Linked DNA regions of Cricetulus griseus. The protein of the gene in region 2 binds, or shares a complex with, the protein of the main gene of each other region. Links are inferred from orthologs where the notes say so. Each region holds a gene or a part of one and is shown on either strand. Other genes may lie near its edges. The genes, in order: Eif3f and Eif3j.

Region 1 (16,818 bases), on a different chromosome or scaffold from region 2:
ATACCCAGTAGATAACTGGCCTTTAAAAAGCTGATGGGGCCGGGTGTGATGGTGCATACCTTTGATCCTAGTACTTGGGAAATGAAGGCAGGTGGGTCTTTGTGAGTTTGAGACCATCCTGGTCTACACAATGAGTTCCAGGACAGCCAGAGCAAATAGTGAGTCACCATCTCAAAAACTGAAAACAAAACAAAAAACTGGTTCTGAGAATTATGTGACAAGAATATTAGGTCTTTGATAGGAATTTCAAATATTTCTCCAGCTTCACACTCGCACTATTTGTATATGTATCTTACCAGTCAAAACTTTTAAGGGGTTATAGGATGTCAATTTTGAAAAAGAATAGCTTCTGGATTCTCAGTGCTTAAGAAGTTCTCCCTCATGGACCATTAAGAACTCTACTGGAATGTCTGGTTTGTGTTTTGGAGTCAGTACATTCTGCCTGGTCACACAGTTCTGAGACAGGATTGGTATTCTCTGAAGAAATTGTTTTGGAAGACATTTTCCATTTAAATATTTAGAAATAGCTTGTCTAGATCAAATTATCTTTGTGTTTTACTGGAAATGTGACAAATATGTAATTTACCTCAGGGAAAACTTACATTTTTATCTGAGAATATGTTGTCTTTATGTAACTGCCTCCTATGTTTCTCATTAGCATCCTATTTGTTGTCATAGATTTTTGAACAGGATCTGATGCAGTCCAGGCGGGTGTCACACTCATACACAGCTGAGGATACACTTCAATCTCTGATTCTCCTGCTCCCTTCTTCCCTGGTTGGGATTATAGGTATGAGATTACACCCAACTTTATGGGTGCTGGGGATCAAATCCTCATCTTCCAGTTTCATGTATCCTAGGCATTCTACGGAGCTACAACACCAGACTTGTTAGCATTTTAGTTCTTTTTCTATCATATCAATTAGACAACATTAAAAAACAACAACAAAACCCCTTTTACACATCATTTTCAATGTATTTTCTCTCATTTAAATACAATGTCTAGTAAGTATAGAACTATCTAGGTGACAGTGAAAAATACACTAACATCATTGATTCATACTTGGCTCTATTTAGACCCATTGACCTGCTGCCAACTGTCACACTAGACCAGTCACTAACCTGCACTTGCTTCTACTTGCCGGCTTCTCTCTACCTCTAAGGTGACTGCCCACTACTGTGATTTTTTTTTTTTTTTAAGCTCATCATTCTTTGGCTTTTTGGTTTAGAGGCACATGCATACCATGCACCTGTGTCTGTATGAGGCCACCTTTCCAGACTGAATAGTTTGGTAAAGCAGATATTCCTCACCATGGAGACGAACTCCTGGGTCCCAGGTCTGCGGTGTGTGCCCATCTCCAAATCCTTCCATACTGTATACAAGTCAACCCCTGGACTACCATCCAGGTAAGATGCTATGGAGGAAAAAAACTGAGAAATAACACCTGCCGCCCCCCCAACCAAAAATCTACAAACAATTCTGGAGATTCCACTTGCTATGATCCTAAGAGTCAGAAAAATGTAAAGCCACTGTGCCCAGAAGGCTGTCTGGTGTGGTGCTGGGTGAAGCTAACATAGCCTGGGCTGTGGGTGCTCCTACTGCTGATGACTCATGCCAATGCATAACCAGCTTCTCCCTAGGATGCTCACTCCTTGGCTTCTGTATGAGCTCAAGAACACTTTTCTCTCCCAGGCAACAATAACATGACATCACATAAAGTTCACTTATAAAAGGAAGGCTATGTTTATTAGGAGTCCCAAGCAGTTGACCAAGTGATCGTGATTCAAGACCACAAAGAAACCCTTTGCCTCCACTTCAGTCTGAGTCCTATGGTGAAAACCAAGACCAGCACAAGTGCCTCTTAGGGCTCATTCACAGGTTCACAAGTTTCTCATTGAGGGCAATCTGTGACTGGGTGAGATTGGCCAGGTAGGTCACCATCAGCAGGTCCTGAAAGAAAAGGAAAACAATGAATGCAATGGGGACAGAAAGGCCTGTGCTGAGTCCTGAATGTCAGTGGAGCAGACTGAGCAGGGGTTGAAGGGGGGAAGTCAGGCAGGGACCGTGCATGAACACTATCCACCCTACTGATGCTTATAGAATAGGGGAATTTAGTGGAGACTTGTGGAGTATGGGGGTGTGTGCTCTGCGAACACAGATGTGTAAAATTAGAAATTGTCTTTGTTACCTTGAATTTTAGCAAGTCTCCTACCTGAGTCTAGTTAAGAAGTCACAGTAATAGCAGTAGTACTTCAAACAAGCACTTAGGGGAGGAGACCCCCTAAACATACTGTACTGCCTCCACCCTGGACTGTGTAGTGGCCTTCCATCTACCCAACTCCCAGGGTCCAGCCATGGCACTCACATTGATGTTGCTGTTGAGCATAGTTTCAAAGTCATCAGGAACTATCTTGGGTACTTGATTAACCAGGCTCATCAAGAAGCGGCCTACAGTGTTGTCAGCAGACACCTTTCCAGACTGAGAAGGTCCATTGTTAGGTACTGTCAAGTCACCAGCAGGCTCCACAGGGATGCCAGCCCTCCCTTGCTGTTCCTCCCCATTTCTCACCAGCACATCCTCAGCATACTGCAATACAGTGCTTAGAGCATCCTGGATTCGAGCAGAGGCTCCGCCCACTTGCTGTAGGTCACTGGAGAGTCCAATCACCCGGTTGGGGCTAAAACATGTCTTCATGATGAGGTCAACTGTGGGAATGTGGGGCAGGCAGTGAGAGACAACAGAGAAAACTTGGTCATAACAAGAGGAAAGAGGTCATTAACCACTTACTAACTCTCCCCAACCCCCCTGGGAAGCAGTCAGCTCCCAATATCCTTGCTCTCTACACACTAACTTTTCTTTCTTTGGAGAGCTCAGTTTCTCCACCTGGTTTGGTAACTACTGGTTCTGGCCTTGTATAGAGATTACAGGGCCTGTGACACTGACAATTTCCTACCCTGAACAACCCTCACATCTTCCAGTTAGCATGAACTTTGGACCAGTGGTTTTTTTTTTTTTGAGACAGGGTTTCTCTGTGTAGCTTTGGAGCCTATCTTGGCACTCTGGAGACCAGGCTGGCCTCGAACTCACAGGAATCCACCTGCCTCTGTCTCCCGAGTGCTGGGATTAAAGGCGTGCACCACCAACGCCCGGCTGGACCAGTGTTCTTTAAGCTACCCAAGCCCTCCCTTCATCTTTGTCAAAGAGAAATGGCTCCCTCCCTTGAATAAGCCTGGGGTCTCTAGGTGTGTGGAGTGGGGGAAGGAAACTCACCTCCAATGCGTTCAGTGTCATAATACGCATACTTCACTGTGAGAGGTGTGAACATCACTCCCATCGTCCTCCCAGGGACACCCATTAAAGTGCTGGGGATGGAGGAGAAAAGGTAAATAGATGCCCTGGGAGCAGTTTCCACTTCTAGCCTATGTTAGAAAAGCAGTCACAATGGTAATACCTTCCACGTGAGAAGGCCAGGACTGCTCCCAAAATACCTTGAGAGTAAATTTTCCTTCTTCTCTTTGGCCTGACCCCTTGTAGGATGGCTTCATACACCATAATGCCAGTAACGAGGACAGGACTCTGATGTTCCTGGCTGTCTAGACACCCATCTTCAGGGCAAACAGATATACCAGAGCAATCTTTTTCTGGGCCTGAGCCTCTCATTATCACTAAAAGACCAAACTGACTCATGCCCCAAACCACTCAATAGGGCGCTAAGAGTAACTTCACTAAAATTGCTGTTTACTATTTCAACTCTGGATTTTCATATGGATTTTGAGGAGGCTGAATTTGTAGAGACTGAGAAGGGGGTGAAGGCTGGGCTCAGTGCCTATCCATAGGCTCAAGTTGTAGTAATAACTCTTCCTTTCTCCACTGCTAAAGCCCTCCCCAGCAAGCCCTGACAAATGGCATTGTAGCTGCAGGCAAGTTCTGAGCCAACACTGCAATGTTATCGTCCAAAAGTCTATTTAATTCCAACTTAAAAGATGTGTTCCAAATAATGCCAGCATCCTTTGGTTTATGAATACTGTGCTAAGTTCTAGTAACACTGAATGTGCTGGTTAGGTTTTATGGTCTATGGAAAGAAGCAGCTCAGTGTTTTCACTAGGCTGGCCTGTAGGGAAGTCTGTGGGGCATTTTCTTGAGGGATGATTGATGTGGGAGGTGGTGGTCCTGGGTGATAGGACCACTTGTGCAAGCAGCGTGCACAAGCCGGGGGAACAAGGAAGTAGGCAGCATCACTTTGGCTCTGCTTCAGCTGCCTGACCTGACTTCCCTCAATGACAGACTGTCACCAGTAGGGTGAAATAAGCCCTTTCCTTCCCGAGTTGTTTTTGGTCAGTGTTTTATCACAGCAACAGAAAGCAAACTAAGACAATAAAAAACTAAACGTAATTCAGAAAAGCAATGAGCAAGGTCACATGTCCTTGTGACAAACAAACCATGTGGGGACTGTCCCAGAAAGATGACACATACAAAACATGGTAGTTTGTTCATGCACCCAAGGCACATATGGAATGGACGTTAAGTAGCAAGTACTGCAGTTTAAGTAGGACCAGTGAGTGTCAATTATGGGGTTAGACTTTGCTTCAGAAACTTCTCTAATGACAGCTGTCAAAAGAGGAATGAAGTTCCTGAAGAGACATTGAGCTATAGAATTAGACCTGAGTAGGGTAGGCGTGAGATGTTATCCAGGCATAACGGGTCACTCAGGACTCACCTGACATAAGCCTTGATGCTCATGCGCCCATTCTGGAGACCTGTGTCCACAGTGAGGTGAATGGGGTTTGGGGCTTCCCGGCTGTAGTATTCATGGATGAGCACCGAATGTTCTGTGATGTCATGGCCTGTTGCATACCTGGAAAGCAGAGCAGTTATAGGTTCTCAACACCTGATGCCAATCCCAAATACAACAGTGGTGTGGGTATCTCTGGGGCCCTGATACTATCTCAGCAGTAATTAACAATGTCAGCAAACTAATAACAAAAGCTATTCCTGAAAATAAATATTATTGACTTAATATGATCAGAATTACCATCAAAATAGGCTCAAGGTCACATGCTTTGAATACTCTATCTCTGAAAGGTGAAATAAGATCTAGTCTGATGACAAATGAGGCTGGCTGGCCCTCAACGAAGACTTTCTATCCATCCACCCGCCTCAACTTACCAGCCTAGGATGAGCTCATTTGGGGAGACTTTTTTGTGTAATTCATACATATTCTTAGCAAATTCCATGTCAACAGCCACCTAAGAGAGAATGCAGAAGAGGAAGTTGAGAAGCTAGAAGTACACACTAAAACTGAATCGTAAGAAAGACCACCCCCATCAGATGAAGAAGCCCAGGATGTGGGCAGGGCAAGCAGTGCTTTGCCTGCAGCGCTGTTACAGACACAGTACAGAGGGGCCTTGAGAGAAGCCAACTCACTTCATCTTCTGACTCATTGTGTGGCACTGAAAAACAGTTGGTGACTTCCACTGAGTGTTTGTCAACAGTTCCTGGTAAAAAGAGAATGGCAGGAGGTTAAATAATTCTGGGATTCCACAGCCCACAACGGTTTCCCTTCCTTTTCTTTCCTTCCTTCCTTCCTTCCTTCCTTCCTTCCTTATTTATTTGTTTTTGGAGTCAGAGTCCTCTGTAACTACAGATGAGCAAGAACTCCTGAGCCTCATGTCTCCATCACCCAAGTGCCAGGATTACGGTGTGCACCATCACACCTGGTTGATGTGGTGCTGGGGACTGAAATCAGTGCTTTGTGCACAGTGCTCTATCAACTGAGTGGTATCTCCAACTCCTACTCTGAAATGCTTTTCAAGGTCTCCTCAAAGTCAACAAACATGAAGCCAACATATTAATATTAGCCCCAAGTTCAGCATCAACAGAACCAGTATTTTCTAGAGAACTCAAAGCCCCAGCTCTTTCTTTTATCACCAAACAGGGTTAAGTCTTCCTTTACAAAGAAGGTCTCTCTTGCCTGTTATTTTCCACTACCAGCCCATCCCATTACACTCACTCTTCATTCTCTAGAGCAGTGGTTCTCAACTTTCCTAATGCCGAGACCCTCATGTTGTGGTGACCCCCAACCATAAAATTATTTTCACTGTTACTTCACAACTGTAATTTTGCTACTGTTATGAATTGTAATGTAAGCATCTGTTTTCTGATGGCCTCTGGTGACCCCTGTGAAAGCGTTGTTCAACCTCCAAAGGGGTCCTGCTGCTCTTGAGTTTCTCTTTGTATGTTTACCTGACAGATCACTGAGGACAGACTGGTGCCACTGTAAACAGTTTTAGAGCATTACCCTTTAGACCAGCTTATCTATCATCTCCACATGTGAATGGATATCACCATCAGTCTACCACAAACTTGTGTTCCGATATCCTCACTCTCATTAGTTCCTGGATCTCACTGAGCCATAGGTCCCAACTTCATTCTCTTCTAACATAGTGGTACCTTCCCCCAAGCTCCCTCAGGCCCTATTATAACATGCCCCTGCTAGAGATCTGGTTGTTATGGTTTCATTTTCTGAACTATGTTCTTAAATCCATGGGTATACATTCTCTCATCTGACCACTCAGACATCTGACCCTCATGACTGCTTCCTCCACTTCAGAGCCCCTTTTTCCTAGGGTATCCATGACACTAGTCTTTTCTAGTTTTCTCCCTTCTCTTCCTAATTTGCTGGCTCCTCCTCTGACACTTCAGGTTTTTGGCATTCTTAGTGTTCCTAGTTTTTGCTCCATGTTCCTTTTCTAGGTCAAGTCCTGACCCAGAAAGATTTCAGCTAATAAATGTTTAGTTGTCCATTTTTTTTTTTTTTCCAAGACAGGGTTTCTCTGTGGCTTTGGAGGCTGTCCTGGAACTAGCTCTTGTTCTTGTAGACCAGGCTGGTCTCGAACTCACAGAGATCCGCCTGCCTTTGCCTCCTGAGGGCTGGGATTAAAGGCGTGCGCACCAACCGGGCTTTAGTTGCCCAATCTTTTATGCATTACTTATGGATTTTTTTTTTTTTTGCTACAAAGGCTGAGTTTTTGTTGTTGTTATTGTTTTTTTAAACACAGCTGCCAATCCCTGTGGTATGTGATTTCATCCACCTTTATGATTTCAGTTACTTCTTATTGCCTAATGGCTGAGACATACTCGCCCACATCTCTTTACAGTCTCTTCATTTATTGTCAAATTCTGCCTTTCTTTTACATTGATTGATTGTGGGTGTGCACATGCAACTGCTTGCCTGTGGAAGTCAGAGCACAATTTACAGGAGCATTTTCTCCTTCTACCATGTGGGTTCCAGGAATTCACAGGTCAGGCTTGTGGTCCACCTCAGCAGTCTTTCTCACTCAATTTCTCTAACCTGACAAATCCACTGCCACACTCAATGGCATCTCAGAAGGAATAGATAATAAGCCCAAGTCAAACTCCATATTTCCTTTCAATTGAAGATCTAGAAATCACCTCTAATGCTGAGCTTCTGACTATGCCACTACTTCCTGTCTTTCAATTCTCCCCTTTCTCTGTGCTCCCACTTCTCAAATGCTTTTACTTTACTAGAATGCCCTCCAGCTGTCATCCAGGCCCAGCTCAGGTCTACTAATCTGTACAAAGCAGCCAGTGCTCTGGTCTCCCAGCTTTGGAAAGAGCTCAAGAGCCTCCTGGGAAGACGAGACTTCCGCTGTCTCAACTCTGTGACTCCTGCCCCAGAGGCAGGTGTCCAGAACCACAGAGGGCTTCTCCTCCTGCCGCCCTCTCATAAGCTGGGACTTGCCCAGAGCTTTCTCTTTAAAATTTTGTTTCATTTTTAAATTTAAAATTTCTCAACAGTGGTACATTTTAGAACTATTACATAAACTGAAAACAAGTTTTTCAGTTTTCAAATTCCTGGCACGTTATCTTTTTGAGATTCAGGGATAAAAGGTTAGTATTCCCAAGTAGGCTCAGAAATGTCAAAATTATGGTATTTAGAACATAACTTTATGCTCTATAATCTGAGTAGCTGAAGTTCTGTTTAAAGGATAAAGGACGCTGAGTTTAGCAGTGCTTACAAAGAACTATAACTTATAGGTATATTCACTGAAAACAATTTAGAAATCAGGTCTTACAGTGAAACATAAAATTAGAAACTCAGGTCCGAATCCTTTGGGAAGCACACGTGGACACTGTCCACCTAAGGGCTCATTTCACATGGAAGATGTGTTACACCTTAACAGGGCCTTCCACAGCTTTTCTGGGACTCCTCCATAACCTTTTCAAATAGTTACGCCTCTGTGTTTCCATAGGACACCCTGCTAGCAGAACAGTCATCACATCTCCGTTTCAGGGACTCTGTTTCCATCTTGAGTTTAAGGTTACAACAGTGTTCCTTTGACTAATTTTGAATTCGAAGTACCTAATGGTTTTATGGTACATGAAAATCACTAATGATTTCATTTAGCCAGGCAAAAATCTTTTACAAATTACTGTCAACCTAAGAAAAGTCCAAGTTCCTACCAAGCACACATTGCTTCATTTGTTTTTCCATCAACAACTCAACTGTTCTGTAGCAGTGGGAGCACTGAGCAGGATCCAGTCTGACAAGAGAATCCACAGATTACAGCTGCCTTCCTATGATATATGGGGTGAAACATAAACCTTGATAGACATTTATTCCTCTAGTTAAACAGCTCCAGAGACTGGAAATTAGATAGTATACCCCAAGTATTTGTTAAGTGGCAAGTCACTGATACAAACATTTTTTGTTTGTTATAGAAGTTCACAGTAGGGCAGTTACAGAATGTTAACACACTGAGAGGTTAAAAATAGAGGGAAGTTAGGATTACAGTTGTAGAACTGAAATAAAATGGTGGAGAGCAGGGAAGAGACTTGTGGAGGAGAAAATGCCAGTGTGTTTTGATGAACAACAATGTAGCAACTCCTAAGTCTTTGTAAAGTGCTATACTGCCTAAGAAATTTATGGTGGGGTGGTATGGTTTTCATATCTAGTATATGGTGACTGAGAGCTGCTGTACCTGAGGTGTGTCAGCCATTAGCTGCTTTCTGTAATAATTTCATTCACACAAAAACTGTCTGCTAAAGTCCCCAAAAGAACTAGATCTTTGGTGATTTGTCCCAAGACAGCTAATAATTGCTGAAGTCTGACTATATATCCTGTTCTCTTTGCAGCACTCGAATGGTCTTCCATGGTACGAAAACTGCTCCAAGATCACCAGTAAGAAATGGTGTGGAAGGCCAGTGTTTAAAAGCTGTCACTAAGGCAGAGTGCAAGCAAGTCTGACAGGACCAGCAGTCCCCAGAGACAGAAATGTATTCAACAATCTTCAGTGCCTTTCAGTTTTACAAACCACCTTAACATAAACTATCTGTAACACAGGCAAAGGAAAGATTACTCTTCATTTTAAGGTTGCTTGTAAACAGGTAATACCATTGCTTGCATGCAAATGGAAAAGTAAGAGTGAAGTGGGGTAGATACTTGAACCCGAGCATATACAGGTTTCATTCCACAAGAAACTAGTATCAAAGAGGTTCTTGCCACTGAGCATCTGTCTTAAAAGTTCGGGATTAAAAGAAAGTATTAAATATCCGGAATAGGTTCTGAACAAACCTGGTTTACTTGTTCAATTGGGGGAAGCTTTGACATATCCTCTTCCCTTACAAGGGTGGTGGGTACGTGTTTGTGTGTTGGTTAGTCAGTGGATATGAGGGTAAATGTGGATACTGTGCTTACAAGAGTCAAGAGCTTTGCACTTCTTGCTGGCTTTTGAACTCATTTTTTGGGAACATGCACTCTCCGTACTTCGCTGGTAGGAGTATAAAATAACATGTAGATCAACTACCACAAACTACTCAATAGCTCATACCTACTCTTTGGACATTTCTGTCGCTCAACAGCGATTCGGCAGGATTCAAGACACTTGGGAAGGCAAGCCACATCGAGAAGATGCAAAAGAGCAACAGGTTAAGACTTCAGTGGTGATGTAGCGAGAGGAAATAGTGAAAACAGGAGGGAGATGACGAGAAGAAAACACTCATTTCTCCAGCACTCACCCAGCAGGGTTCCGATAACCCGGGCAGCTCCCTCGTTGCGTCTCTCGTAGCTGTCTACGATGGAAGCCAAAATGACCGGGTGCAGCCTGACCACGCGGCCGCCGGGGAAAGGCCCCGGCAGGGCGGGCCCGGGCTGCGAGGGTGCCGGCGTCTGCGCAGGGGCTGGGGCAGAGGCCGGGGTCTGGCCCGCAGCGGCAGGCGTAGCTGCCGCAGGGTCGGAGGACGAGGCGGGCGCCGGGGCCGCAGCGGGAGTCGCAGCCGGCGCCGGAGCTGGCGTGGGCGCTGCCGGGGCTGAAGCCGGGGCTGCGTTGGTGGCCGGCGCCGGGGCCGCGGTCACAGCGGCGGGAGGGACACTTGCCGGTACGGCCGGGGATGCCATGTTGCCGAGAAAGAGGGAACCTAGAACGGAAGGGCGTGAGTTAGGAAGTATTAGGAACTTGGTTGGTTGAATTTGTACCACGTGAATCAGCTCTTGCTGACTATTGGGCACTAACATTTCCGGCTGGTTGTAAGTTTTAGTGAGCCGTGTGCGTTTTAATGGCCGTCCATGCGCACTCAGTGAGGAGCAGGCCAAAGTAGTTCCTAGTGACTCTGGGACCGCCTGAGGGTGGGGTGGGGTGGGGTGGGGGTGGGCAGAGAGAAACAAATAGCAATCTACTCAGTTGCCACCAGATGGCGGCACAGAATAGTGTAAAGGTCGCATTTTTTTTTTTTTTTAAAGATTTATTTATTATGTATACAACATTCTGCCTCCATATATGGCTGCATGCCAGAAGAGGGCACTAGATCTCATTACAGATGGTTGTGAGCCACCATGTGGTTGCTGGGAATTGAACTCAGGACCTCTGGAAGAGCAGTCAGTGCTCCAAGCCATCTCTCCAGCCGCCCCCCCCCGCCCCCCGCAATTCTTTTTTTAGACTTAAATTGGATATTAAATGTCAAAGGGGCTTTTAAAGGGCCTCTCTCCCTCCCCCCTCCTCCCTCCCTGCCTCCTCCTTCCTCTCCCCCTTCCCTCCTCCCTCCCTCCCTCCCTGCCACCTTCCCTCCCTCCCTCTCTCTCTCTCTCTCTCTTTCCTTTTTCTTTCCTTCTCTCCTCTCCCTCCATCCCTCCGACCCTCCCTCTTTATTTCCTTCCTTTGCTTATTTTTGAAGTCAGGGTGTGTGTGTGTGTGTGTGTGTGTGTGTGTGTGTGTGTGTGTGTATACTCATGAGTGCATATGACGGCCAGGCATTGGATGTCCTGCTCTATCACTCTATCACTATTCCCTTGAGACCTCATCCCTCACTGAACCTGGAGCTAGGCTGGTAACCCTAGCAAGCCCTAGTGATCCTTCTGTTTCACTGCCCACAATGCTGGGGTTACAGGCTCCAGTGTTACCACACCTGGCTTTTTATGTGGGTGCTGGGGATTCTACCTGAGGTCCTTATGCTTGCACGACATGTGTTCTTACCCACTGAGCCATCTCTCCAGCCCCTTTAAGGTCTTTTCTTATTGGCATAAATTCTTCATACTTGGACAGTATTTACTTCCACCTATTCCCTCCCTTTACTCCTCCCCCCAATTATTCTTCCTGTTTGTCTTTTTCCTCACCCAATCTTCTTTCTGCATATATATATTTCTAGGGGCTGGAGAGATACCTCAGAAGTTAAGAGCACTGGCTATTCTTCCAGAGGTCCTGAGTTCAATTCCCAGCAAACACATGGTGGCTCACAACCATTTATAATGAAATCTGGGGCCCTCTTCTGGCCTGCAGGCAGAACACCGTATACATAATAAATAAATAAATCTTTAAGAAAAATTCTAGGATGCACAGTGAGGGAAACTGTGGTCTATATACACAGTAAGAGGAAACTCTTCTTTTTATTCCTGTTTTTTAATTTGAATTAGAAACAAGATTGTTTTACATGTCAATCCCAGTTCCCTCTTCCTCCCCTCCTCCCCTACCCCTCCCAACTAAAACCCTACCTATCACATACCCTTTCTGCTCCCCAGGGAGGGTGAGGCCTTTCATAGGGGGGTCTTCAGAGTCTGTCATATCCTTTGGGATAGGGCCTAGGCCCACCCCCGTGTGTCTTGGCTCAGGGAATATCCCTCTATGTGGAATGGGCTCCCAAAGTCCACACCTATGCTAAGGATAAGTACTGATCCACTACAGGAGACCCCATGGATTTCCAAGGTCTCCTCACTGACACCCACGTTCATGGGGTCTGGATCAGTCCCATGCTGGTTTCCCAGCTATTACTCTGGGGACCAAGAGCTCCACATTGTTCAGGTCAGCTGTTTCTGTGGGTTTCACCAGTCTGGTCTGGACCCCTTTGCTCATCACTCCTTCTCTGTAACTGGATTCCAGTTCAGTTCAGTGTTTAGCTATGGTGTCTGCTTCTACTTCTACCAGCTGCTGGATGAAGGCTATAGGATGGCATATAAGTCAGTCATCAATCTCATTATCAGGGGAAGGCATTTAAGGTATCCTCTCCTCTGTTGCTTAGATTGTTAGTTGGTGTCATCTTTGTAGCTCTCCAGACATTTCCCTAGTGCCTGATTTCTCTTTAAACCTACAATGTCTCCCTCTACTATGGTATCTCTTTTCTTGCTCTCCTCTATTCTTCCTCCTTCTCAACCTTCCTGCTCTCTCATGTCCGAGGAGACTCTTCTTATTCATGAGATGGCCAGGCCTTTTCTTTTGTTCAGGCTTCATCTGATGGGATGAGGGCACCCACATTAGGGAGCACAGTTGGCTTTCTTCAGTTACGGACTCAATTGACAGTTATATCTTAAGTACAGGATCACAGAAACTCTCAGTGATATGTTGACCAAAGCTTGGGTCACACAAAATTAACCACTGCATGCCACTTGCTAGTTGTCCTGGGGAGTATGTTTGAGTAGTCATGTTGTAAGACCCCCGGAGACTCAGGCCCCCAGGATCTCAGCCCAGCACCGCAGCCACTCCAATCACCACGCGGAGGCGAAAGCTTAATGCAAACAGCATGAGGCTTTATTGTAGTTGTTTAACGAGCTAACCCCATGTTAGCTTGGGCCTCCCGTCCATCCACCATGGTGGATGGCTAGGAAAGATGGCAGGAAGCCACTGCATAGAGATCTTATAGGGCAGTGTAAGGGAAGTGTCTAGGGGTATGCACAGGCTCAGGATTGTTGTGCCTCCAGGCTTGGAGGGCCTGCCCTGTGTTGATTGGTCAACTGGTGGTTATGGCCCATAGGCCCTCCCAGGGTGTTTGCTATGCTCTGTGTGTCATTGCTGTGCACTTGTACCCAGAGCCATAAAGCATAGCACCACCAGCTATCTTCTGATTGGTTCCTTGCCATGAGGCAGGCATCTGACCTCCTAGTGACCAAGGCAAGGTCAGTGCAAGCATGTGTTACTGTCATGGCTGCCAAAAGGGGACAGGCATCTGACCTCCTAGTGACTAAGGCAAGCACATGTTCAGCTGTTATGGCTGCCGAAATGGGGAGCTGGTCCCTTCAATGTCTGAAAAAACAAAATGAAACACAACACAACACAACACCAGATTATCTCTACCAGGGAGTCATATGAAAGTGGGTCTATAGTCTCTTTATCTAGCCCATCCCATTTCAGGTATTGAAAGGAAAAATATATGTGTGTGAGTGTGTGTGTGTGTGTGTGTGTGTGTGTGTGTGTGTGTGTGTGTGTGTGTATTCTAGCCAGATCCCTGCTCTTGTCTCTCTACCCCATTTTTTTCTGCTCAGTTTATGTGTCTTATGTCTCCCTTTATCTGTTCTCTCTCACTTTTTCTATCTTTGTTTCTATCTTTCTATCCTTGGTCCTGCTTCCCCCATTTTAATTTTCTTTCTTTTGGGGACCCAGTTTCTCTAGTTGTCATCTCTGCCTCTAGCCAGGACAGAGTTAACATGATTTCATCTGTTGCCTCCACCCTTCCAATTAAACTCGGTTCCTGTTTCTATAAATACTAAGGTGTTGCTATGAATCTGGCCCAGTGACTTAGACCTGGCGTTGGTGCAGTAAGTGGCCTCTGCTCTTTGTCATCCTATCTAGACGGTCATATCTTGTTCTTTTATTTTCTCATCTTGGTCTTAATCTCTGGTGCTGTGGTTTCTGTTTCTAGCCTGATCTTGGCTAAGGCTTTGGGCAAATCAATTCCCATTCCTGCTGTTTCCCCTGAACTCCAGGGAGTACTGACCGAGCGCTGTGACTTGGGGCTTGGAGAAGAGAAAAAGGTGAACAGGTGAGAGGGCTGGCAGTGTTCACCTCCTGGTTCCCCACCCCTCCTACCACCACTGCCTTCAAGCTCTTTGGAGATCCTGTTAGCCGTACATCATATAGAACATAGCTTTGTCAGACAGGCTCACTCTCACCTTCTGACCATGAAACCCATGCAGCTGCTTCTCCTTCCCACAGCCTTTCTCATTGAGAGGCTTGGGTCCTAATCCAGTCCTTGTTCTCACCCCTCCCCAGTTTGAGATTACTAGCCTGATACCTCCTTTGGATGCTTGTTGCTGGCATTTAAAAATGCCCCCTTCCATGTGAAGACAAAGACCTTCTCTTGGTCTAGTACGTCCCCATCACTTTGCAGAGTCCTTTTGCAGCCAAGTTTCCTGAGACTTCTCTACACACAATCCCTCTACTTCTTGGCCACCTGTCTTTTCCCTATTGTTTTAGCTCAGTGATGCATGTGCATGTATCAGAAATTCCACCCATTACATAGTCTGTGTCCTCAAACAGTCTTCATCTCACCATCACCAGCCCTTTTGCCCAAGGCAACTACTTTAGATTTTTAACTTTCTTATGTCTTTGTACATATGCATGCACACGCACACGCACGCGCGCGTGTACACACACACACACACACACACACACACACACACATACAAATTATTGTGCATTTGTTGTATGTGTATACGTGTGGGAGTGTGTCCTTTGTGTACGCACAGGCCAGAGGATGTCAGGTATCCTGTTCTATAACTCTCTCTCTACCGTGTTCCTTTGAGACAGGGACTTTCACTGAGCTTGGAGCTAGACTGGGGGCAATACACCTCAGCCATTCTCATGCACCCACCCTCACTGATCTTATGTGGGTGGCAGAATATGAATCAAGTCCTCATGCTTGCTATTCAGGTGCCATGCTTACACAGACAGTGCTCTAATACACCGAACCATCTCTCTAGCCCCATTGCATCTTTGTACTTCTAAACAGTACAGTATGCACAATACAACTGCTTTTTGACTCAAGGCTTAGGCATTGACCTTTTATCCTAATCATTCCATTACCATCCTTTCTAATTAAAAAAATATTTCCTGTGTATGGGTGTTTTGCCTGAATGTATGTCTTTGCACCATGTGCATGCCTGATGCCCTCAGAGGCCAGAAAAGGATATTGGATTCCCTGGGACTGGAGTTATAGATGGCTGTGAGCTGCCATGTAGTGCCAGGAATTGAATCCAGGTTCTCTGGAGGAGCAGCCAGAGCTCCCAGTCAGGGAGTCATCTTACCAGCCTCTCTGCCACCATCCTTTCATTGTGGTTATATTATAAATCTTAGTTATTAAGTGGTTATGCTATTATTTGTATGCAAATATTATTCACCTGAGTGTTTTAGTTTACTATGTTTTATGTCTTAATCTTTTGTTGCTCCTAAAATATTTATTTTACTTTCATTTCTAGTTTTCTGGTAATTTACTGTTGATTGTCTGCACTTTTGGCTGTCTCTCATTAGCTTTTTCAGAAAGACAAAGGCATCAGTTGAATTACCAATCCGTTGTTCTTTTCATCTTGAAGGCAATCTTTTTGGAGAAACTGCTCCAAATTTACAGAGATTTAGTGGAGTCCCTGCTCTCTAGGCTAGCTGACCAGCTGCCTTTTAGGCACATTTAGAAACGTGTTTGTATCTCTATTTCACAGAACTCCTGCTTGCCCCCCCCCCTTTTTTGTCAGAGCATAACCTGTAGTGGCTTCACCAGTTTGAAGAAATGGTACAGTGACAATGACAATGCTCCACTTCCTTTGTCACACTGCCCGGGTCTGGACCAGGGTCAAGTTGTAAAGAGGACCAGTGGTTTCAGGGATGGGTGTGGAACATCTTCTGTTTTGTCTTTCCTTTGGCAATACAATAGTTCATGCCTTTGGTCCCTCCCTTGTTTACCAAGTTTAATGGGTCTGAAAAATGAGGTCAATTTTTTTTTTTTTTTTTGAGGCAGGTTTTCTCAGTGTTGTCCTGACTGTCCTGGAACTCACTGTGTAGACCAGGCTGGCCTAGAATTCAGAGATTCACTTGCCTCTGACTCCCAAGGGGTCAAGTTTTCATCTGGTGAACAATTGCTCATGCCAACTAACATATCTGATGTATGGGTATCTCTGCTTCTCACTGAGGTCCTTCATGGTTCCAGCCCTCCTCCGCATCAGGCCTATGTGTCTGAGAATTCACACCTTTACTTTGAATTCTTACCCCACCGGATAATAATTAACTGGTGGGTTTTGGATAAGAGGATCCAGGGTTGGCCTGCAAAGCTGAAAATGGACCTGTTGCATCTCTTCTGGACAGCTAGCTTTTTGTTCTCTTGCCAGGGAGCTGAGTCATCCTCCCACCTCCAGCTCCTCAAGCCTGAGCTTGACTGGTCCAGTGCTCTGCTGTTGTCTTCTTGTCCTTCTGGAATTAGCTTCCCAGAATCAGCTTCATAGGGAATCCCCAGTATCCCTGTGTCCTGACATGTTTCTGAGAGGTTTATTCCTTTCTTTGATATTCAGTCAAAATACTGATATTTGAGTCTTACCAAGTCCATTACA
Region 2 (15,997 bases):
TGGTTCAATTCAAATGATGTTGGGTGTATATTTGTTAGGGTATGAGTATGTATGTACATGAGGAAATTATAACTAACCTCTCTTCTAAAGAAGCTGGCTCTTTAAGGAAGGCAACCTGAATGTTTTTGTTTTTTTTATAGTCCAGGCTGGCCTAGAACTCCACACATAGTAGAGGATGGCAGTGTACTGAGCCTCCTGTCTCCACTCTCCAACTGCTGGAATTCAGGCATGAGCCACCAGGATACCTGGATTAAAGGCATGTGCCACTAACGACTGGCAGGAGCCAAAATTTTAAAAATTCCTGTGGAAAGCTACTGAGCCTTCTTTAGTTGGGCTGTAGTGGTGATAGTTGAGGCTGTTTGCTCTCTTAAGAGAGTTAATATGATGGTTTATTAGTAATTTCAGGGCAGGTTTGTTGCTTGTATTTGAGGGTAATGGTAATAGACAGTGGCTTTCCTTTCATGGTCCTTTATGCATTGAGGCAGGTGTCATGACTCTGCCTAGAATTTATTTATAGGAACTGCCTCTTGCTACTAAAATACATTCTGTCCTGGCTTGGTGGCATATGCCACAAATCCTAGCATTCTAGAGGTGGGATGGAGGATTTTTAGGGAGCCTCCTGTTTGCATGGATAGGAGCTGGTTCTCTTTTGTTGTGGGGAACCAGAGAGTAATAGGGACAGGGTATATAGAATTGGTATTGAAGGTATCATCAGGGTGCTGCTTATTTTCAGTCATAGTTCTCTCTTGGCTTTGTAGTACCAAACCGAGACTTGGTGATCAGTATCTTTAAATTTCTAAACAAAATAAAACCTTATGTGCGCAACTTGAAGTTTGAAGGTGTTTAACTGATACAATTGTATATATCTGGACATATTTCATATATTAGTATGTACCTTAGCTCTGCTTTTTTAAAATGAGATTCTCTATGATCTAGGGAAGTTCATTCTAGAACTGATTGAAAGAACACATCTTAGTAAGAGGAACGTAGTTTGCAGTTACTTTATATTCCAAGTCTCAGAGGAAGTTACGTTCTGTGTCATTTTGTTCCATTCAGAGCAAATTCCTATATTGTTTCTTACTAGATCATTTGTTGGCTACATCTGAGCTACAGTTTTCTTCTGTAAAGTGGGATGGTGCTGCTTTACTTTTAGGAGTGTTACAAAGATTAATGTTACAACATGAAAAAGCTTGTAGCATAATTTTGAGTGGAAAGTCAGTGCTCATCAGTATGTGCTGTTAGTATTATTATCTTATTTTAAATCTGCATTCCCTGGAATACACATGTCCCTGCTGTCTGAAACACTGTTTAAGCAGCGTATTATAGACCACCCCAAAATGCCTGATAGTCAACTTTGTTTTGCTCTTTGGTTCCCCTTGTACTACAGTTTTGATATAAGAACTAAGGCAATAATATAGTAAGGTAATACAAACATTTGATTTTTAATTTGTAACTCTAGTATCTTCTTAGTTATCCAAATAATGACTAATTGATTTGTTTTCAGTCTGTTAAAACTCAAAACCATGGTTTAAATTGACAAGTGGTTGTAATAATATATTTACTAGGGGGCTGGCGAGCTGGGCTGCTCTTCCAGAGAACCTAGGTTAGATTTCTCAGCACCCACATGGTAGTTTACAACTGTAACTCCAGTTCCAGGGGATTCAAACTCTCTTCTGGTCTCTGGTACATAGACATACACAGACACAGGAAGTAGAATGTTGGGATTAAAATATACACACACATATAGACAAACATATTTACTTGTATATAAAATTATTCCTGTTCTGCTTGTTCAACACATTGCAGCTTCAATAAAGAGGACAGATTTTTAATTTCTTTGCTGGATGTACAAACTTGTCTTAATTGAGGTTTAGTGTATATATACCTGGATTGATTTAGATCTGTGATCTGTAATGCTATAAAGCTAGAAGCTTGTGTTTATGTCATAGTTGTGGTATATTAGTCAGCTTTTGCCTCTTCTACTAGCGTCAGGGCTTCCTGCTTTGCACCTTCCCTCTGATGGCTCATCTTCAAATGACATGTCACATTGTGTCTGGTGATTACTGAGACTGTGTTCTACCTATAGATTAAAGCCCCATTTAAATTTAAGGCTATCTCCATCCCTACTATATTGGAATCTTCTAAATTCTAGAGTCTTTAGAAAATTAGGTTTGTATGTAGCTCAGTGATAGATAGGCATAGAAAATCCAGGGTATAGGTCTAACTCAGAGGGTCTTGCCCGGCCTAAGGAGGCAGAGCCATAAAGGGTTAATTAGTTCTTTAGACTAATCTCTTAATACTGTGTCTAAAATATTGTGTAATTTGATTCATTGACTATAGTTATATTGTAAGCAATACTGCTAGAAACAAATGACCCATTGGCTAGACAGCAGAATACCTGGTTCATTTGGTAAATGAAACAACTGATAATCAATGGGTAGTACACACATGCCTGTAATCCAGAATGCAGTAAGGGAAGGCAACAGGATTGTGAGTTCAAGGCCATTTGAGGCTACATAGATAGACACTGTCAAACTAAAAATAAGATAGCAATTAGAAATTTGAGCTTGTTACCTTGTATTTTGATTGGTAAGCTTTTTATGGTGTTAGATAAGTGGATATAAAAGCTTATATGGAAAAACGTGATAGTAAACATTTAGAATCCTAAAAGGGTGAACAACATTAAACATACATACATTATTTTAAGTCTGCAGATACTAAACATACCATAAAGCTTTGGTAATGAAAGCAGTGTGGTACTAAGTGGGTGTTAGTTAAACCTATAACCAACCCCTACACTCAGGATTTGGAGCAGGGTCATATAGACTAGCTTAGTCTATATGGCAAGATCTGTGGTTCTTTACTGTAGGTGGATCAGGGATGTAAATATATGAAAAAAACAAAACAAAACAATGAAACCATATATATTCTAGAAGAAAACATGGTGAATTCTTTGAGATTGTCTGACTTAAATCCAGAGGTAGCAAAAGCCAGTGACTTGGAGATTTTATTGTATTTGAGGGACAGTTTCATTAAGAGAGGTGCCTATTTCTGTTCTGCTCACTAGTGTAAACAGAACTAGATTGAGCTAGTACGATTAGAAGAATTAGTAAAACTGGTATGGAGGACCTTCATGTCTTCGATGCCTTGGAGGCAGAGGCATGTAGATCTCTGTGTTGGAGGCCAGCATGGAATATGTAGTGAAACCCTGTCTCAAAAGTACACTCTGTTGTTTTCAGGCTATGTGGTATGGGTTGTATAGTATATCACTTATTCAGAAGCTTGGGGCCACAAGTATTTCCTTCCATTTAGGGACTTTTTTTCCTTCAGATTTTGAGGAGTATATGTGTACACATAATGGTATGGGACCCAAGTAAACATGAAATTTTTTTGTTTTAAATATACTTTACACACATAGCTGGAAGGTAATTTTACACACTATTTTAAGCATTTGTTCTATTTGACTAAAGATCTATCAATGGATCATATGTGGAATTTTATTATTTTTTGGTAGTACTGGGGATTGAATTTTATGCATACTAGGCAAGCATTTACCATATTCCCTAGCTTCCTATTGTTTTTACTTAATTTTGAAACAGGATTTCTTACTTTGTAGAGGCAGGCCTTAAACATTGATCTACCCTACCTCTCAGGTCGCTGGGATTACATTCAGATTTGTGGTCTAGGCCCAGTTGTAAGTGTGGAATATTCTTGTGGCAACATGTTGGTACTCAAAAATCTTTGGAATTTTGGAACATTGAAGATATTTGGATTAGAAAACTTTAAAGAATTGATGATGAACCTAACTTAAGTGTCCTCCCAAATTACTAATGTTCAAAGCCCAATAGCGTTTGCTATATACAAATACCTAATTATAAAGCATGATGAGGGCAAGGGAAACCTATAAAAGCAACAGAATTTAAAAATTTATAGGAATTTACAGAATACTAGGAACAACCACAAAATGAAACGTGTAAAACTTCTTACACTCCTGAGATACAAAAGTAGACTTAAAATGGGAAGATAACCCTAGACAAAGGGCCTTACTGTTATAAAGGCTATAATACCAAAAAGTACCAACAAGCTTGTTTGTGCATATTTAGGTTAACCATAGATATCACATAGGAAAGAAAACATGTAAGAATTACTAATGGAGGTTCTTGTCTTCAGGATAACTGGGATGATGATGATGATGAAAATAAAGAGGAAGCTGAAGTAAAACCAGGTGAGTCACTGATATTCATTCCTTCATTGTTTTAAACCAGATGCCCCTCTATACTTTTTCTTTAAGTACCTGCTGGTTTTCTGTTGGAGAAAAGTGTAGGTGTAGGAGATAGAAAGTAGAGGAAATGGTTATTTGAATGATCTTCCCTTGTCTATTTGCATCTCCCGGGGTGAGATTTGAAATGAAAAGGAAGAGTACTAAAACTTTATCATTTCCAGAATATGTGACTCTGAAAGCTAGGGAAGGTTTCGTCTCTTCAGGTGTTCAATCAAGCATCATGTCTGCCGTAGCCATAGACTAGAAAGTGTTCAATATAATCGTAAATAAAATATTTCTTTCAGAAGTAAAGATTTCAGAAAAGAAAAAAATAGCAGAAAAGATAAAAGAGAAAGAACGGCAGCAGAAGAAAAGGCAAGAAGAAATTAGAAAGAGGGTAAGTTCTATCACTTTCCTTAAAATGTATACAGAATTCATAATGTGTCGGTTGTGGTACAGTGTGTGCCGTCTCCCCCCCACCCCACCCCCGCAAAACAGGGTTTCTCTGTGGCTTTGGAGCCTGTCCTGGCACTCACTGTGGATACCAGACTGGCCTTGAACTCACAGAGGTCTGCCTGCCTCTGCCTATCTACCTATCGAGTGCTGGGATTAAAGGCATGTGCCACCAACGCCCAGCTGTGGTACAGTGTCTTAACTGGCTGCAAATATTACATAGCAATTTGAAGGGCTCTGTAAAGACAAAATGGATATACTGTAAGATAGGTGAATCCCAGAAAAAAAATTGATTTGTAGTTTGCGAACCCAGAAGTCTTATATCTGAAAATATTTTCAGTTTCATCATAACAGTTAGATTGGGCAGTGACCACCCTTAATGGTTTTTTTGTTTTTGTTTTTTTCTTTTCTTTCTTTCTTTTTTTTAAATTTTTTTATTTTTTTTATTATTTTTTTTTGCTAGAACCTGCAGTTTTGTTTTTTTTCTTTCAGTGCTGGGATTGAATTCAGGGCCTCATGCATGTAAGTGATCCCTCTACCACTGAGCTATATGCCTAGCCCACCTGTGGCTATTTCTAATCAGTTATACACAGTGAACACAGCAAACAAATGTTTGTCATGCCCTAAAGTGGTTTATTCTTGATTATTTTGTAGCAGGATCCAGCAATATTGCTGTATTTATTTTAATAGGAAACATTTTCATAATTCAAATATAAAAATTATTACAAAACACTCCTAACCCCTTAGTTACTTATTCTGTCTCCACTATCCCACATCTCATGTAAACACTTGTCCCTTATCTGTCCAAGATACTTTTTTTTTTTTTTTTTTTTTTTTTTTTTTTTTTTTTTTTTTGGTTTTTGAGATTGGATTTCTTTGTGTAACAGCTCTAGCTGTCCTAGAACTCACTTTGGTTGACGCCAACTCACAGAGATCCACCTACCCCTGCCTTCTGAATGCTGGGATTACAGGTGTGTGCCACTACTGCTTGGTTTGTCCAAGATATCTTTATATTTCTGTATGTATTATCCCTGCCTCTTTGTGATAGTCTTTAGCTGTATAACCTAGGGTGACCTAGAACTTGGTTTCCCATTGCCCCCACTTTTCAAATGCTGAGATTACAGACATCACTAACTGGCTGTCCTTTTTTGTGTAGTTTCCACTTTTATTTACTGTAGAGATCTTTTCCATACACAGTGTGGAAAAAACTCTAATATTTTTCCTCACTTTTTTTCCTTTTTGTTTTTTTGAGCATTCTCTCCCCTCCCTCCCTCTCTCTCTCTCTCTCCCCTCTCCCCCCACTCCCCCTGGGTTTCTCTGTCTTGCTTTGGAGCCTGTCCTGGAACTTGCTCTGTAGACCAACTGCCTCTGCCTCCCGAGTGCTAGGATTAAAGATGTATGCCACCAATGCCCGGAGAGCATGCTTTCTCTATGTAGACTTTTCTGTCCTGGAAGTCACTCTGTAGACCAGGTTGGCCTCTGCTTTCTGAGTGCAGGGATTAAAGGCATGGGCTATCATTCCCTGGCCTTCTTTACTTTTTGTTAAGAAAAATCCTCAAATATGAAAGTAGGAAAATAATCAGGCATGGTGTTGCACTCCTGAAATCCCAGTACTCTGGAAGTCTGAATTACATTTGTAATTTGTAATAGCTTGGCTTGTATTGTAAGGCCTGGGCTCATAAAGCCAGATCTGGTGGTATTCATACTTATAATCCTGGCACTTAGGAGACAGAAGGAGGAGGATTTCGAAAAGTTGGATGCTAGCCTGGTCTACATAGCAGTTCTAGGCGAACCAGGGTTACATTGAGTGTGAGACTGTTTCAAAAACAAGTAATACATATCACTTAATACTGTTAATGTGTTGCCAGATTTCATTTATTTTTGCTTTGCTTAATATAACTAATATACATTTTACCTTTAAACCCTGAGAAGGGATTTTTTTTTTCATGATTGCATAAATACCTGATATTTAGAAACAGGTATATATGTGTGTATTTATACATGTATAAATACATACATACATAAGGTTGTTTTACTGCTGTAAGAAAGAGATGTAGCATGAGATTATTGGTAGAGTGCTTACCTATGTGGGAGGTGCTATGGTTCAGTCAGTCCCCAGTATTGCTCTTTTGCGGGAGGGGATTACAGGGGAGACCATGTCTGTGTGTAGCCTTCGCTGTTCTGGGACTTGCTCTGTAACTCAGGCTGCCTGAAGTGCTGGTAGTAAAGGTGTGTGCCACTATGCCCGACTCTGCCAAAAAATTTTAATAATTTTACTTTGTTTTTGTTTTGTTTTTTTGAGACCGGGTTTCTCAGTAGCTATGAAGTCAGTCCTGGAATTCACTCTGTAGACCAGGCTGGCCTCAAAGTCATTCGCTTGCCTCTGCCTCCCAAGTGCTGGGACTAAAGGTGTGTGCTACCACCACCGCCTGTGTAATTCTTCCTTTTTGAATAAACTGGTAAGGTTTTTGTAATTTGTGTTTTACTCAAATACAGTAGTTTATTTGAGAATTATATACTTGCATACATTTAATATTTATGTGTTTAAATCAAACCCCTAGTTCCTCCCTTCCCTTCTTTCCCATTACTCTCCCTCCCAACTTCATAAGCTGTTTTTAACAACTCAGAGTCTACTTAGTGCTGCCAGTATATAGATGGGTATAGGACCATCTACAAAACCCTGTGTTCAATCCTTAGCACTTCATCAAACAATGTGTGGCACATGCCTATAACCCCATTGCTTGGGAGATGGAAGCAGGGGATAAGGAGTTCAAGTCATCCTAAGTTACATACTGAGTTTGAGGCAAGTCCTAGGGAGTTGGGGAAGCTGTCTGTCTGTGTGTTTGTTCACAGCACCCTCCACTACCATATATGGTACACACATACATGAATGAACAACTATATGAAGATAAAAACTTTGAAGTTTCAAGCAGGGTATAGTTCTGCATGCCTATAATTCCAATGGGAGGGTTGAGTTTGAGGATAGCCTGGGGGTACAGATAGAGAGCAAACAAATAAATTTATAATGGGTGTGCATGGTGGTATATACCTGTAATCCCATCCACCCCTTACTACATGGGACTATCTCAAAAAAAATGTATAAAACTAAAAAACTCAAAAAAAAATAAATATTATAAAGTTTAAAGCTGTTAAGTGGAGTTGAGGATTTGTTTTATTTTGTTTTTCAAGACAGGGTTTCTCAGTGTAGCCTTGGCCATACTGGAACTAGTTCTTTTCAATTTGGACTATATCCTAACTTTTTTTTTTTTTCTATTTTTTTTTAAGTTTTATTTATTATGTATACAGTGTTCTGTCTGCATGTGCCCCTGCAGGCCAGAAGAGGGCACCAGATCTCATAATGGATGGTTGTGAGCCATCATGTGGTTGCTGGGAATTGAACTCAGGACCTCTGGAAGAGCAGTCAGTGCTCTTAACCTCTGAGCCATCTCTCCAGCCCCCTATCCTAACTTTTTGAGACAAGGTCTTATTATATAGCTTTGGTTGGCTTGGAATATATGATGTAGACAAGGCTGGCCTCTAACTCAGAATAACACCTGTCTATGCTGGGATTAAAGGTGTGTACCACCTTGTCAGGATTATTTCAGACTACCCCTACCTTATTTTTTTAAAAAAGATTTTAAAGAATATATCCTACTTAGTGTATGTTATGTAATCAAGTGGAAGGTTCTAATGTTATTATTTCCCTTGTGTTATTTTACCTACAGTTTTGTTTTGTTTGTTTGTTTGTTTGTTTGTTTTTCCGAGACAGGGTTTCTCTGTGTAGCTTTGGAGCCTGTCCTGGCATTCACTGTGGATACCAGGCTGGGCTTGAACTCCCAAGTGCTGGGATTAAAGGCATGCAACACCACCACCTGGCTTTTTGTTTTTAACCTCTTTACATTTCCTCTCCATGAACAGGCAGGAACATATGTGAGGATTCAAAGGTGCTTCACTTTTCCCCAGTAACTAATTCAAGTAACATACCTCTGTAGAAAATTATATCACAAGGTGTAGAAAAGAAACTAGACTGCTGTCTACCCTTTCAGAGGGCTTTACATTACTGGGGTGTCACTTGATTATTTTGGTTACATTTGTAATTCTACAATAAAATAGAACTTTTTTTCTGATGCTCTGAAAACACTTTTAATGTCTACATTGTCAGATGAGCAGTGCTACACTTTAACCATTCTATAGTTGAACATTTAGGATGTTACTAAATTTACTTGCAATTATAAATAATATTCTAATGAATATCTTTGTGTTCATCTTAGGTTTCACCCCCTCCTCCCATTTTATGTGTCTGTGAGTTTTGCCTTGCATGCATTTGAGTGCCTGGTGACCTCCGAGGCCAGAAGAGGGCTTGGGTCCCCTTAAACTGGAGTTATAAATGGTTATGAGCCCCCATGTGGGTCCTGGGGAGAACACAAGGTCCTCTGGAAGAACAGCCAGTGGTAATCTTTACCATTGAGCCATCTCAATGCCTCCTCTATTTAAAAAGAAGAGATTTTTTTTGAGTGTTTTCCCTGCATGTATATTTGTACTGTATTCACATGGTAACTTTGGAGGCCAGAAGAGGGCCTTTTATCCTGGAACTAAATTCCTGAGTCAACATGGGGGTGCTGGGATTTGAATCTCAGTCCTGTGGAAGGGTAGTTAGTGTTCTCTTTAGCCATCACGTCAGGTTTCTTTCTTTTTTTTTTTTTGTTTTTTTGTTTTTGTTTTGTTTTGATTTTTGGTTTTTTGAGACAGGGTTTCTCTGTAGCTTTGGGGCCTGTCCTGGAACTAGCTCTTGTAGACCAGGCTGGTCTCGAACTCACAGAGATCCGTGTACCTCTGCTTCCCAAGTGCTGAGATTAAAGGCGTGCACCACCATCGCCCGGCATGATCTACTCATTTTTATCAATAGATGGAGAAATAAATAGCCTCTACCTCCTTGGGTTCACCCTGTTAGATGTTACTTCGTATTACTGTGTGCAAGTTTTATTTAATTATCTGTATAAATGAAATATGAATAGCTAGCCTTTAAAGTGTTTAGAAGAATGCTAAAATACAGTAATCATTTTTATGTGCTTACTTGTTAAAGTGCTGACATAAAATTCATACAATACAAAAATACTGTGTCCACTATAAGTGAAACTTGTGTTTTATTTTAGTTAGAAGAGCCTGAAGAACCTAAAGTGCTAACACCTGAAGAGCAATTAGCAGATAAACTCCGTTTAAAGAAGCTACAGGAAGAATCAGACCTTGAATTAGCAAAAGAAACTTTTGGTAAGATGGTGGGTGCAATGTTGCTATTCCAGGTGAAAAATTCTTCCAGTCTTACTACTTTGTAGAAGATCAAAAACCATGTTTTTAAATGACACATACAGCGTTAAGCTCTTGTTTATATATTTGAGATTACTTGACAAAGTATTGGCATGCTTTCAGATGTTTTGAGTAATTTTTAGAGTATTTAAGATTATAAAACACCGTTTTTAACACATTCCTATAATCCTAACACTTGGAAGGTCTTAGCCTTAGTGGTAGCTAGCTAAGGCTATATAGCAAGACTGCCTCAAGACATCAGTAGACCCGGTAAAGTGTACTGTTGCCTAAACTAGTGAACTGGATAGATTCTGGTGTCTACAGCTTTTTAACTAAAATAGTGGACTGTCTTTGGGGACATCCTGTTCCCCTAAGTCTAAATAGGACTTGGGCAGAACATGTTAGTCCATGTAGAATATTCAGTTTTGGCTTTGCCTTGTGTTCGGAGTTGTTTCTTTTTCTTGGCCTTTATAGTACACCATCTTTCAGGGCCATCAGTTATCTTAACAGCTTAGGAAGTCAGGGCAGGAAGTAAAGCAAAAGCCATGGAGGATTGCTGCTTACTGGCCTGCTCTCAGTAAGTCTGCTTTCTTACAGTTCCCAGGATCACCTGCTCAGGAGTGGCACTGCCCACATCTAGCTGGGCTGTCCCACATAAATCAGAAATCAAGAAAATGGGCCATAGGCCAATCTGGTGGGGTCATTTTCTTTTCTTGGTTGAGGTTTCCACTAAACAAAGGACTTTAGTTTGTGTCGTGTTGATTTAAAAACTAGCCAGCTACCTAAGGAAGAGTTAAAAGACATAGTAGAGAAATCCAGAATACTTCATTTGTCAAATTTGTCATTACCCTGTGAAAAAATTCACCCAAGGCCTTCTCTAGAACACAAGAGACTTGCTTGTTCCCCTTTAGGAAAGTCTGACCATACTCTTCAGTGGGTCTCTAGCAATTTCAGCTGTGAATGTGGGTGTTCCTCTATTCATGGCAGCCCATGTGTGTTCAGAATAGAAAATCTCATGGGATACCAGTTACAAATTAAGAAGTGAAAAATGAAATAACACAGTCATTGTTTGGTTAGTAGGAATTTACTGTTTCTTGCACTTACAATGCTGAATCTGTAGTTTTGCTAGGTCATTTATTGACCTTGAAAAAGGTATATACATAATCATACTTTTCGCCTAGAATTCTTTTAGGCTAGATTTATTTTCTCTCGGTGTTTTTTTTTTTTTTTTTTTTTTTTTTCTTCTTCGAGACAGGGTTTCTCCGTGTAGCTTTGGAGCCTATACTGGCACTCGCTCTGGAGACCAGGCTGGCCTCGAACTCACAGAGATCCACCTGCCTCTGCCTCCCGAGTGCTGGGATTAAAGGCGTGCGCCACCACGTTTTTTTTAACACATGGTTACTTCTGTTTAATTTTTGGGGTTAGCTGGTTATTTTTATTGTATCCATCTTTTTTGTTATCCTTACCCATCTTTGCCCAAGGATGCCTTGGAAGCCAGAGGACAACTTGTGGAGTTGCTTCTCTCCTGCCATGGGAGTTCAGGGGATTGAATATAGGTGGTCACGCTTGGTGACAAATATCTTTACCTACTGAGCCTTCTCCCACTCTATCTCTTTTGTTTTTCTTGGACAGATCTTTTGAGAGCATCCTTTTTTGGACAGCTAGTAAATTCTGTGGGTCCTTTTTTAGTATGGCTTTTGTTTTTGAGACAGGGTCTCTGTGTAGCTCTGGCTGGTCTGGAACTCACTCTGTAGGCCAGGTTGGCTTAGAACTCACAGAGAAGCTTGCATCTACTTCTGAATGCTGGGATTAAAGGTGTTTTCTAACACTTTATTTTTAACAAAGGAAACCTGTTCAATTGAAACAGGAATCAAATCACAAAACAAATCCATGATAAAAGTAAAGATTTTTAGTTTCTAGTGCAGGGGATTGAACTCAGGTCTTCATACATGTTAGGCAAACACTACCTGAGCTACATTCCCAGCCCATATATAGTTTTATTAATTTGGTTGTTGGTTGTTTTGTTTCTTTTTTGAGATGGGTTTTTGCCAGGCTGGCCTTGAATTCTCCATCCTCCCAAGCTGGGAGTATGAATGTTCATAACTACTCAACTTCATGTGTTTTGTTTTGTCTTTTCAAGATAGGGTTTCTCTGTGTAACAGCTCTGGCTGTCCTGGAACTCATAGAGATCCACCTGCCTCTGCCTCCCCAGTGCTGGGATCACAGGCATGCGCCATCAACGCCAGGCCGCCAGGTGCTTTTTAATAGTAGTGCTTGACAGTACTGATCAGACAGTGGTGGGGATATCTGCTCCAGCTGCAGTGTACTCCGAAGGGTTTTTTTTAAATGTTTTTGCCTAAAATTAAAATAGGCGAAAATGCTGAATTGGAGGCTAGTAAAATTCAAGATAGATTTTTTTCTTTTCTTGTTAAAAAGCTCAGTAGTTTGTAAAGTTTCCTAGCGATGGAATGGTGGCTCAGTGGGTATTAAGCCTGATAACCTGAGTTTGATACCCCAGGGCACATATTGATGGAAGGAGTGAAAGTTTATCCTCTGATTTACACATGCAGGTCATGGTGGCATGTGCACACACAATATGACAGTTTGTTTAAAGTCCTGCTTTAGAATAAAACTGATTTTGATAGCAACTTGGTTAATGAACTTTAAGGTTTTTGTTACAGAGAGGGTTGTGTTGAAGTCAGAAGACAGTTTTGTTGTGTAATCATCTTTACATGGGTAAAGCTCTTCTTACCCAGAGAGCCATTCTAGCCCCTATTGATGAAAATGATTGTCTTCTAATGCTTCAGCTCTTTTCTCCTGCAGGTGTTAATAATACAGGTTATGGAATAGATGCTATGAACCCATCTTCAAGAGATGACTTCACAGAATTTGGAAAATTACTAAAAGATAAAATTACGCAATATGAAAAATCACTATATTATGCCAGTTTTTTGGAAGCCTTAGTTCGAGATGTCTGTATTTCATGTAAGTGATGCTGATTTCTGCCCCCTTTGTTAAGACTATATTCTTAACATACTTGGGAAACTTTTTTTGTTGTTACTGTTTGTTTTGTTTTTCTATAGCTTTAATGCTATAATACAGACTTGGGATTTCCTTTTTTAGCAAATATCTCCAGTTTGAATATTTGGGGATGGCTACTTTCATTGTTTTATATAGTAGCTTCTCACAGAGATAGCAGTCTTATGCCATACAAAACAGGTCACAACACTAGGTAACCCTTTTATCCAATAATCTCCTAAAGGCCTACACAGTATCTTTAGAGGGAATGCATTAGGGGCTTCTCAGGTTTAGAGCTCAGTAAGACCCTCAGAAATTGATTTTACAAATGGAGTCTGAGATACTGTCTAAATTGCCCGACAGAACTGGCTCCCTTATGCTAGGATGCTACACCAATGTGATTATTACTCATAGGCGGATTTTATAGGAACTGTTTTTTCCTGTGTTTCTTTTGTGGAGGAGCTATCTAACCAAACCCCAACATTTTCTGTATATAAGAACTGATTTTTTTCCAGCCCCCCCCCCCCAATTAAGTAAAGGATATGTTGTCCGCTAAGTGATGTGGTTCTTGGGCTAGAAAACACAGCGGGGCAGAGGCTTATCATATGTGTTTACTTATCATTGCATGTTCAATGTAGCTGCTACTCAATGATTGTAGAGGCTGTGGTTAGTCTCCCTCCTGTTTAGACTGAGGAAAGATGGGAGAGGTAAAGCAAATGCTAATGAGTTCATAAATAATTGTTTTTTAAGACAGGGTTTCACTATGTTGTATGGAGGGCCTTGACTGTACTAGAGCTCTCTGTAGATCAATCAGGCTGGCCTTGCACTCACAGAGATGTGCCAGTTTGAGTGCTCAGTTTTTATAGCCATTGTGTTTACCATTGTACTTTAGTGAGCTATCACTGAGCCCAGCCATAGAAAGAAGAAATTCGTAGTTGTAGTAATGACATTTTATAATATAAGAATATCTATTTTGATTTTAAAATGAAGTTTAAAAGTATGTCTGTTTCTTTTTTAAAGTGGAAATTGATGACTTGAAAAAGATTACCAATTCATTGACTGTGCTTTGCAGTGAAAAACAGAAGCAAGAAAAGGTAAGGGCAAGCTGTACAGAGAAATGACTTGTGCTAAGTTGGGGCTGTGGGCAGAATTCCCTCAACACAGTAAAGAACCCATTGAAATTTTAAGTTAGAACAGAACAGCAGAGTGGTGCCTGTTGGTCTCCATTCACAGACATACAATAAAAATTGTTGTAGCTTTTAGCATCTCTTTGAGTACATACTGTGACAGATGAAATACCCATAGCAGATAAAGGTTCATGAATTTAACTCTTCCTTCATTTTTAGCAAAACAAAGCCAAAAAGAAGAAGAAAGGTGTGGTTCCTGGAGGGGGATTAAAGGCCACCATGAAAGACGATCTGGCTGATTATGGTGGATATGATGGAGGATATGTACAAGACTATGAAGACTTCATGTGACCTTTTATCTTCTCCTGGTGTCTTCTTTATGTTGCCCACAATCCCTTCAACATGTAGCACAACTTCCTTTCCTTTCAGTTCTGCCAAATGCTACAATCAGAAGTGCAGTATCTTTTGTGCTGGTTATTTAACCCCTTGACACTCAGGTGCTAATGAGCAAATGAGGGAACTTGGATCTTGTTGCCAAGGGGTTAAAATTGGGAACCTCAGTTGCTACAAAATCATAGTTTAAAAACAAAACAAACCTAATAATGTTGTCATTGTTGCTATTTGATTCCATAGCAGCAGTCACTAAATTGGAAACAAAGGTTGCAACATGACAAAAAAAAATTGTGTAGTATTTACCAGCACCATTCAGTAATACAGCCTTAACCATACCTCCTTGAACTACTTCATAACTTGTCAAGAAAAGCAGTTTGCAGCAAGCAAGGGCATGTGGGATGCACCTAGTATTAAAATTGCTTTGTCTTAAAATTGAGCTGAGGATATTAAAAACATGTTGTGAAGAAGACTGCTTATCTCAGAGTGAAGATACTGTGGCTGAAAAATACTAGTTTGATACTTAAGATTTTAATGACCAAAACCCTTCAACTTTGAAGCTGAAGAAGGTAAACCTCTCCGTTATTACAGTGCAAGTGGTGGATGATCCAGTGCATTGACTGTCTAGTTATTTATCAGCTATTTCTACTGATGGAGGACTTCAGATGGGGGAGGGAACTGTTTCTATTTTGCCTGATTCAGGTGTCTGAGAAACAAATCTTGTTCTTCTAGGCTGCAATGGAAAAACTTAACAGGGTTTTGGCATTTCCTTTTCTTTATAAAACATGCTCAGCAAACTGCACCAGTTAACTACAGTTTGGTAAATTGTTATGTTAACAATTATGACATCTGCAATGTTTTATAAAGCAACTAATTTAATAAAATAACTATTGTGAGGACTTAAATTTTGTGTTACCTCCCAAGAGATAATTGAGAGTACAGGATGCAGCTCTTGGGTGGAGTTCTCTGTGTACTCAATCAGTGCCTGATGTAGTTACAGCTGAGGCAAGTGTTTGGGGTCTTTAGTAGTTTAGCTGTAGAGCAACAGAAGCTGTCTTCCTCCTGTTCATTTGGGAAATTATTTTGTTGTTTAGATGCTAAGGCCCAATTAAGTACCTAGAACTATTTATTTGGAGTATTGACACCTACTACTCATGTTATTGCTGTAAGCATAAATCGGGTGATCATTTTAAGTAATGTAACAAAATTTGTGGTTAGGTTTTTGTTTGTTTGGTTTTTTGTTTTGTTTTTTTCTTTTGGTCCCCAAAATTGTCACAGCCAGGACAAAAAAATGCTTTATAGTTTCTCTTCCATAGGCAATAGGAACCTCAAAGCTCTGTAGACCACTAAGTGGAAAACAGGACCATATAAATGACTTGAATTAATAGAAGGCCGTGACTACATAGCAATAACTACAGTAAATACTGTTGAAAGCAGACAAGGG

What was found.
Region 1: Eif3j (region 2) and Eif3f share a complex: the UniProt entries of both Homo sapiens proteins name them as parts of the eukaryotic translation initiation factor 3 (eIF-3) complex. The link is inferred for Cricetulus griseus from reciprocal best matches to the Homo sapiens genes EIF3J and EIF3F.

Annotation. Positions count from the first base shown.
Region 1 is NC_048596.1:91,821,897-91,838,714, forward strand, and holds Eif3f (eukaryotic translation initiation factor 3 subunit F), read right to left. Parts: upstream 10,448-16,818; 5' UTR 10,420-10,447; coding exon 10,041-10,419; intron 5,498-10,040; coding exon 5,427-5,497; intron 5,249-5,426; coding exon 5,169-5,248; intron 4,858-5,168; coding exon 4,720-4,857; intron 3,365-4,719; coding exon 3,273-3,364; intron 2,708-3,272; coding exon 2,571-2,707; intron 2,481-2,570; coding exon 2,367-2,480; intron 1,952-2,366; coding exon 1,874-1,951; 3' UTR 1,721-1,873; downstream 1-1,720. UniProt on the Homo sapiens protein: Component of the eukaryotic translation initiation factor 3 (eIF-3) complex, which is required for several steps in the initiation of protein synthesis.
Region 2 is NC_048599.1:56,390,592-56,406,588, reverse strand, and holds the end of Eif3j (eukaryotic translation initiation factor 3 subunit J), read left to right. Parts: intron 1-4,170; coding exon 4,171-4,225; intron 4,226-4,566; coding exon 4,567-4,658; intron 4,659-9,867; coding exon 9,868-9,982; intron 9,983-12,841; coding exon 12,842-13,003; intron 13,004-14,056; coding exon 14,057-14,130; intron 14,131-14,382; coding exon 14,383-14,514; 3' UTR 14,515-15,458; downstream 15,459-15,997. UniProt on the Homo sapiens protein: Component of the eukaryotic translation initiation factor 3 (eIF-3) complex, which is required for several steps in the initiation of protein synthesis.